Linked DNA regions of Kluyveromyces lactis. The protein of the gene in region 1 binds, or shares a complex with, the protein of each later gene. Links are inferred from orthologs where the notes say so. Each region holds a gene or a part of one and is shown in the gene's direction. Other genes may lie near its edges. The genes, in order: BBC1 and LAS17.

Region 1 (4,452 bases):
ACACACGCATATTGATACAAATCAAACTAGGAACAAATCAGTCTGTTTATTAGGCAATTGGGTTCCTGGTTAGATATGAGAGACTAAGGGCAGCGAAAATGATTGGTTTTTGATAATGTGGTATCCTACCAAGTTCTTGAGATAACGTTGATCTCCCCAAGTATTTGAGTAGCTCCCAGTTAATATCTAAATGTTGTGGGTCGCTCAGCAAAGTGAATGACAACATGATGATGATCGATTTATGTAATGGCTTTAGACATTTGGAATGTTGACCGTTGAAGATTAACATCACCACCTGTCTCCAGAGCGTCCATTTTACACATTTGATAAAATTGTCACTGAAGAAATAACCATACACTCGTTCTTTGACCGACCCGCTTGATTTCTTATCGGATAACTCATTTAACTCTTCTAACCTTTGCATGAGTATCCTTGTCATTGAACCATGTTGTGTCTGAGATTCCTTTGCCTCTGAATCGAACGTCATTGAGGAAGTATTCACTTTATTCTTCTTAAGCTTCTCTTTCAAAAGGATGGATTTCACATTCTTATAAGTCTTGACGACATTCCATGCGACAAATAACAAAAGGAAGTCCTTCCAAGGTTTTCTAGTCTCGAATAATATCCTGTATAATCTCCCCTTCGATTGATTTCTGTGGTATAGGATTGGTATCAAGAGACTAGCTGCCAATTGCCTGAGAAGAATCCAACGGCGTTCGCTTATACTGGAATAATCAACCCAGAGCTTGATTTGATCTACAACAGATTCTACAGCCCAGTATGAAACAATCCAATGCGGTAGCTTAGCCTTGAGCTGCGAGAGACCAATCGTTAAACCCAGGAACCAGCTGGCATGTCTTTGACGAATTATCCTTCTCAGTAACGGTATAGCAACAACGATAGGCAAACCATCGAATAATGAACTGGCCGTTAACTTCCGGTGCTTTTTTAACAATGCTATAAACCCATTAACACCAATAACTCCAACGATGCGACGATACAAAGCGTTTCTATCAATTTCCGAATCATAGTCGTACGCTAAAAATCGAATGAATCTCGCCAAACGAGTATTCGAATTCAATGTCATGCCTTATCCAATCAGTCATAAGTTCTGCAACCCTCACCTGCTGATTGAACGTTCATATATGCCTTTCAATTGACGTGAAGTCTATCATTCGTTCGTTATCTACCTTTCGGTGAAATCTAATCCTTTAAAATTGTTTGGAAAAATGTTACTAAAGCCTTTGAAATTAAAACGATTCCTTATATCGCGAACTTTTCACCACCCCTTTAACAAAGAACACTCGGCGAGTGAAATAAAAGGACCAGCTTACTAGAAGAACAGTTCTCGAAACTAGATTACGTGTTAAAGATGTCTGTGCCATTTAAGGTCGAGGCATTGTTTCCATACACCTCAGATTTTGAGGATGATTTACCATTTTCCAAAGGTCAGATCATTACGGTGCTTGAAATAGAAGACGATGAGTGGTTCTTTGGTGAGTTTAAGGATGCTGATGGTAAAACAAAGCAAGGTATTTTCCCCAAAGGTTTTGTTAGTGAACCTTTGAAGGAAACTGCTAGTGAGCCTGCTCAAGAGAAGCAGCCAGAGGAGAAACCAAATGTGGAAACTCCGGTCAAGATTCCGGAAACACAGACTGTCAATCCAAATGCTGCAGCTGCAACTGCACCAGTCCAGAAGGGAAAGGTTTCTCAGGATAATGTCAGACAGTTGAGAAATAGTCTGTCGTTTCAAGAAGGTTCTGGTGATACTGAGAGGAGTGGTTTTGTTAATAGCGATGATTTGGTAAAGGAGGCTAAGTCGGAATCTAAAATGTCCTTGCAGCAAAGGATATCCATGTTACAGCATATGCAGAAACAACAACAGGAACAGGCGGAAACTTTGCATAAGCGGAAAAAAAGTATTTCTAGTGTGTCGTCCCCAACCGGCAGCGTTGCTACTGCTAGTGCAACTTCTCCAGTTAATATTGAAAAAAGGGAAAGTTATGATGCCTCTGTTATTGAAGATTCCGATGCTGAAAATCCAGAAGTTGATGTCAGTACTTCTAGCATTCACACAGCTCCACCAATTCCTAATGATACTGCTTCAATTGGCTCTCACCCTCAGCGTACCTACTCTATTCCTGAGGAGTCAGTTAACGAGAATGACGATCGTGATGATAATGATGAAAATGAATCTTCTGAAGACGAAAATGAAGAGGAACAAAGACGTGCTGCTTTAAGAGAAAAGATGGCAAGACTAGCAAATGCAAGTAGATACGGTATGCCTAATGCGTACTTCAACCCATTTGGAATGCCAATGCCTTCTGCTGACTCTTCGAAGACCCCAACCAAAAGCAAGAAACCAAAGGAAGAATCTGAAAGTCCAACTGAAACGTCATCTCTTCCAACAGCGGTTCCTGTCATGCCATTTGCCGACCCATCGATGCTGCCAATGTTTAGGAAGAAGACTGAAGAAATTGCTGTGGAAACTTCTGGTCATGCCGAAACCCCAGAAAATCAAGCTGACGAAGAAAGCGAATCTAGCTTTGTAGATGGAGTCGATGATGCTCAACCTGCTATTACAGGTTCGGTGAATTACGACAAAGACCCAGACTTCCAACATAAAGATGAAGTACCCGAGGGAAGTCAAGGCCTTTCTGGATATGAATCCGAAGATGAAACTACTAAGAAAGTGGAAGATGAAGAAGAGGAGGCTCCGTCGCCAACTGTTCCTCAAAGAATTAGGCCCACTCATGTTTATACAATTGATACTTCTCCGGGATCCCCACAAACTCCACAAACTCCACAAGCTACTAACGCCCCACAAAAATTGCCCGCAGCCCCTCCAATTCCATCTGCTCCTTCCGTCCCGCCAATTCCAACAGGTGCACCAATTCCTCCTGTTCCTTCAAGCGTACCTGTACCACCATTACCAACAAAGGCTCCAGCACCAGTTTTAAGCGTTAAAACCGAAAACACTGAGCAGAAACTGCCAACAAAACAGCCCGCTGCTGCCCCTGCTCCTCCAGTACCAAGCAGTGGCGGCCCTCCACCATTGCCTCCTTCTAATGCACCGCAACGAAGACCTTCAATTCAGACTATTCCAGGTGCAGCAAACTCATCACCAGCCACTCCTTCATCTGCTGCTCCACAAATTCCGGCCAGTTTCCAGCCATTAAGACGGACAACTACGGCGAAATTTGAACCAGGTACTATTCCAGAATTAGAGTTCTCAAAGCAAAGTACTTGGTGGTTAACTAAGACAGTTCAGGCTGATACTGTTAAACCAAGCAAAGTAAAATACATCTGGGAATCTCAGGATCACATAGTTGAAAGAAGGAATACAAATAAGTTGGTTGTCAGAGATTTCCAGTTCTTGTTCGAAGATTACTCTCAAATTCAAGCATATGTTGTATATGATCCAAAGAATCCAATTGAGACAGCAATTTCCCATCAGGACTATATTCCCTCCTCATCACAAAGTACTGGTAGTGATCTGTTAATCAAAACAATTTACGAAAACAGTAACAAATGTGTTGGTAAAGCTTGTCATTCATTTATTCCTCAAATATTGGGTCCAATAGATAATCTAGTCCCACCAATTGCTCAAAGAACTTACGGTATCACCGTTTTTGAACATGCTTATAACACCGCAATAGATGAAGCTGCGCTAGGAAAATTGGTACCAGGTTTGATACTTGTTGCAAGAAACGCTGAATTTACCTTTGACGATGGTTTAACGTACAGCTTGGGAATAGAAACGCCGTTTGTGGCCATTCTAAAATCTGTGGATCTTGAAACTCAATCTTTATCAGTGATTGAAGAGCTTGGTGGTGAGTGCAAAGTATCTATGTATCCACTTGAAAACTTGACTAAAGGAAAGTTAAAGGTGGCCAAGCCAGTACATCGCAAGGACATTGGTTGGTAAGAATGATACAAGGAAGTAAAACAAATTGACCTCTTGAAGAACAAATGCAAGAACACATATGCTGCTATTTGAATAAATATATAGTATATACAATATTGATTGAGAAGGATACTAAAAAAGTTAAATACATGAATAAAGAAACAACTCAAAACTTGATGTTAAGCTTGTTTCTCATTTTCGAACTTCGCCCAGTAGGGATAATCTGTTTCAAACTCCAAATCCAAACCTTTGTATCTCCAAGCATGTAGATATAGCTCTAACGATTCTGGAGTTGGATCTTTTGGCATTTCTTCGTCGCATTCAGGACATCGTTCTTGATTTTCATTCAATTGATCCCAGACATCATCCAGTTCAACCTCGAACCGCTTCCGTAGCTTTTCGATTCTTTCGTTTGTTAGTTGAGTCCAATCTGGGGTCTCAATAATAAACCTTGACCGTAATGGGTACGTTGAGTTATCAAGGTTATAAAACGGATCGTTTGTAATGGGGTGTCCCTGTCTTGCCAAATGGATACGAATTTGATG
Region 2 (4,244 bases), on another chromosome or scaffold:
ACGATTCTTGAGTGCCTGCAGAGGCTTGGCCCCAATACACAGCGACGTTATCTTTAGCGTTTATGTCAAATGCCGAGGTGAGCAAAAGTTGAACCAAAGACAACAGAAGTAAACGAGGGTGAAACATTGTAGATTCTGTTAATACTTTTAAAGGAATGAATGGAGGGTGTTCTCTAATTTCAATACTAGTATCCTGCGAATGTCAGAATATGTAATCCTTTAATAAAGAGTGACAGATTAAAATTTAAAGGCTTGTATAGAGAGATAGCACACGCACACAGGTAAGTACTGTTATGGTAGTATTAGTAATTTTTGATATCTTGTATTTCTGGTGACCAGTTTAACACAATGATTGATAGTTGCATTACTGGTACCTCATCCTGCCATTGTTGTGCCCTTTATATACCAGAAATCACAAAATATGACATCGAGCTGGACCCCAGCACTTGTTTCAAACATTCCAAAGCATGTAAACAAACACACCACAGAAAGCATTCTCAAACACTTGCTCCTGCTCACTGTTTATGTTTACTCTGTTTCGTTTCGTTTTGTTTCGCAACATCCAAAAGCTGTTCCTGTAATATGCTAAAACATAATTTCGTGTCAAAAAAGTGCCTAGGAAAAAGAATTCTTTTTGGAAGAGTTTTACGCTGGACTAAAGAGAAGAAAGCATTTACGTTTAACGTAACTGTAAACAAGACACAAAATGTAAACCCAATCACGCCGCCTGTTGTAAACTATTTCACATCATAAGCACGCAATCCAAACACCGTCCACCTGCAAAAAAAAACCATCTTTCGATGTTTCTCCCTCTGATCTCTTCGAGCATGTAGCTGTTGTTTACCTTTTGAATACCGCATGCTGGTTGCCAAAAAAACCCAGCATAAAGCGATCAACACGTACAAAGTGATTCTGACTTTTGTCAGATGCTGCAGTGCCAGACGGTTCCTGGGTCAGGACAGAAATTCTTCTGCCATTGTGCCGCTGTAACCACGTCCACATGCGTCGGCCAGATGTATCAGTAAACAGAACTCTTAATTTTTCTCCGTATTATGTTCGAATGCGTGTTCGTACTGAAATGCTTCTTGTCTTTCCTGTACCTTGCAGTGACCTAAATGGGCACACTGTATTCCCATTTACAAATGGTCTGTTAGTACTTTTGAATTCAATATGGCAACTTGAACAAACCCCATTGTGTAAAGGTCCTTTTTTTTTTATCTCTCTCGCAGTTCTGTTGGTCCCTTCTTCTTTCACTGAATCACTCTGTGAATTATAGGGGAATAATGCCGTATTAAGAATCGCTTCAACTTTCAATATTGAAAAATTGAAAAGTTGCGAAATGTTAAACAGACCGAAAACTTAAGAACCGTAAATTATAGTCAGCCAAACCCCCCCACTCCCTAAAGTGCATCGCGCGTTTGTGTTATTTTCATTAGAACCCATCGGTAGCTGCCTCCGTCAAGAATTGATTTCAAGTTGAACGAGTTTACACTTCTTTTGAGAAATTAATAATCATAAAGCAGTTGTTTCCGAGTATACTATGGGAGGCTTGAATTCTGCTGAGAAAGAAAAGGTTAAACATGCTTTGCCCAAGGCTTCTAACAAGATTATAGATGTTACTATCGCTAGGTTATACATTGCATACCCTAATCCAGAGAAATGGGTTTATACTGGCTTATCTGGTGCCATTGCATTGGTGGACGATATCGTTGGTAATACTTTCTTTTTGAAGTTGATCGACGTGCATGGGCATCGAGGTGTTCTCTGGGATCAAGAATTGTACGTGAACTTTCAATATAACCAGGATCGTACTTTCTTTCATACCTTTGAATTAGAACAATGTAACGCCGGGTTGTTATTCACCGATATTGGCGATGCTTCACATTTTTTGAAACGAGTACAGAAACGGGAGAAATACGCGTCCAAGAAGACCTTGGCCAACAAGAATGCAATTGCATTAGAGGACCAAATTAAGAAAGAGGAAGAGAGTAAAGTGATCCATGGTCCAAGAGGCGAATCCTTGATCAGTGACCAAAGGGTCAGATATAGATATGAACCGGAAAAGCACGAGCACCGCCAGGAACACCATTACGAGCAGCCCAGCCAGAATTATGCTTCAACTGAAAACTCAGCTTCAGATGCAAGTGCCGCTCCTCCTTCTTTTGCCTCGAAACCACCGCCACCGCCTGTCGAGAAACAACCTCCTCCTCCTGTGAGCATCCCATCTTATAAGTACGACTCTATTCCATCATTCCCAAGCTCTCCTGCACCTCCATCGGTTTCCTCTACTCATTCTCCTACCCCGGATTCATCCTATGCATCAACACCAGCACCAAGTAATCCTCCTCCACCAATAAACCACCCGGTACATGCAGTTCCTCCTCCTTTACCAGCAGAACAATATCGTCCACTGGCTCAGTCACCTCATCCGCAATTCCAGCAGCAGCATAATTCTCCTTCACCTGCAGCACCTCCTTCGATTCCGCCTATGCAGCAAAGCGTTGCAATCCCTCCTCCACCTTCCCATCCAGCTCAACAACAAAACGTCACTAATAACAACACTCCTCAGTTTGGACAATATTCTGTTGCTGGTCTGCAACCACCTCCGAGACCAACTTCAACGAGACCTGGTATTGCTCCTCCAGTTTCGAGGCGTGGTCCGGTACCACCTCCCCCTCCAAGACGCTCAGCTGCTCCGCCGTCCATTCCTTCAAGAGGTCCTCTACCTAATGCTCCAACTGGCGGTCAGCATAGTCGTACTGGAAGAGGGCCTCCACCACCACCACCACCTAGACGTGGTGGCCAGGCTCCTTCTCCACCTGCAAGCAGAGGTACAACTCATAACTCAGCCATCGGCCCTCCCCAGCCCCAGCTTCCACCACAAATGCAATCTCCTCCTCTTCAACAGCATAATACCTACAATGCAGCGCCTCCTGTTCAGCAATATCAACCACCACAGCAAACCGCATACATTCCGCCTCCCCCTGTCTTACCACCCCACTCAGGTGTAAGCACTCAGTATCACCCATCGACCGAGCCTATGTTAGCCCAACCCCAGCATCATATAGCGGTACCTAATGGCACTGCACCTCCCCCAGCACCTCCTGCCCCTCCGGCACCTTTTGCTCCACAGATAACGAACTCAGCGCCCGCACCACCACCACCTCCTCCTCCTCCTCCAGCCCCTGCATTTAATCAACCTGAAGCAGGATCTGGTTTTGTTGAAAATACTGGTGATGCTGGAAGGGATGCCTTATTAGCATCGATTCGTGGAGCTGGTCTGAATTCCCTCCGTAAGGTGGATAAATCTCAACTTGAAAAGCCAAGTCCTTTGTTACAAGAAGTTCGTAGTGATGCGCCGGTATCTCAACCCACAGGCGGGTCAACTGGCGGACCTGTTGGTGCTCCTGCGTCCTTGGCTGATGCCCTAGCTGCGGCTTTAAACCAAAGAAAGAATAAAGTTGCTCGTGACGATGATATAGACAACGGTGATGATTGGTGAAAGTAATTCACCCTACTTGAACTGCATCTGACTAGACTGTGGAATTATGATTTGGTATTTGTATGTACGGTGTACCTATATATTACTTTCAGATGCCTTTAAAACAGAAGACAGATAAAACTAAACTAATTATTCAAAGAACTCCACTTATTTGACCATACCTGTATCCATTTCAACTTGGACTCATCTGAACCGTTTAGCTGTGTAATAATTTTTATAACTTTCTTAACATCATTATTGATAGCAAGTACTGATGTTTCCACTTCTGGATCTACTTCATATTCAGCGTTCACTAAGGTGGATGAAATTAAAGTATCAGAGTTAGAAACTATTGAATTGTGGAGTTGATTTAGCTCAGATAGATATGCTGCTGTAGTTACAGTATCCTTTTTTATGGTTATCGATTTGGATAATGAACTCAACAAGAGCTTAAGGAGACGAGATTTTTGCGATAGTGATTTGACAAATTCAATCATGGATTCTGAAGCTTCCTCTTCCTCTTCTTCATCTAAATCCGTACCTTCCTCATCACTGAACTTGTCATTCATTCCGAATGGGTCTGAATTTATTACTGGATCCTCCAACCACTCTTCTAACTCTTCGATTGAATCTTGTAGAAGCTTCACTGAAGAAGACAAATACTCAGTCAAGAGTCCTAAGTTACCTTGATTTGATAATAACTCTAGGTGTTCACATTGCGACCAAAGCATACCAATCGAAATGAGTCTTTCTTTCAAAAATT

The links.
Region 2: the proteins of BBC1 (region 1) and LAS17 are in contact, whole or in part, in a crystal structure (PDB 1ZUK), measured with the Saccharomyces cerevisiae proteins. The link is inferred for Kluyveromyces lactis from reciprocal best matches to the Saccharomyces cerevisiae genes BBC1 and LAS17. Residues at the interface, in NP_012514.2 of Saccharomyces cerevisiae: Phe14, Tyr16, Tyr20, Asp23, Asp39, Glu41, Trp42, Ile58, Pro60, Ser62, Phe63; in NP_014824.1 of Saccharomyces cerevisiae: Arg350, Gly351, Pro352, Ala353, Pro354, Pro355, Pro356, Pro357.

What each region holds. Positions count from the first base shown.
Region 1 is NC_006042.1:1,351,272-1,355,723, reverse strand, and holds BBC1 (Bbc1p), read left to right. Parts: upstream 1-1,372; coding exon 1,373-3,928; downstream 3,929-4,452. Other genes in the region: PEX35 (Pex35p), read right to left, coding at 50-1,087; pseudouridine synthase PUS6, read right to left, coding at 4,087-4,452. UniProt on the Saccharomyces cerevisiae protein: Involved in the regulation of actin cytoskeleton.
Region 2 is NC_006039.1:433,180-437,423, forward strand, and holds LAS17 (actin-binding protein LAS17), read left to right. Parts: upstream 1-1,540; coding exon 1,541-3,502; downstream 3,503-4,244. Other genes in the region: CTS1 (chitinase), read right to left, coding at 1-127; KLLA0_C04752g (uncharacterized protein), read left to right, coding at 349-753; KLLA0_C04796g (uncharacterized protein), read right to left, coding at 3,628-4,244.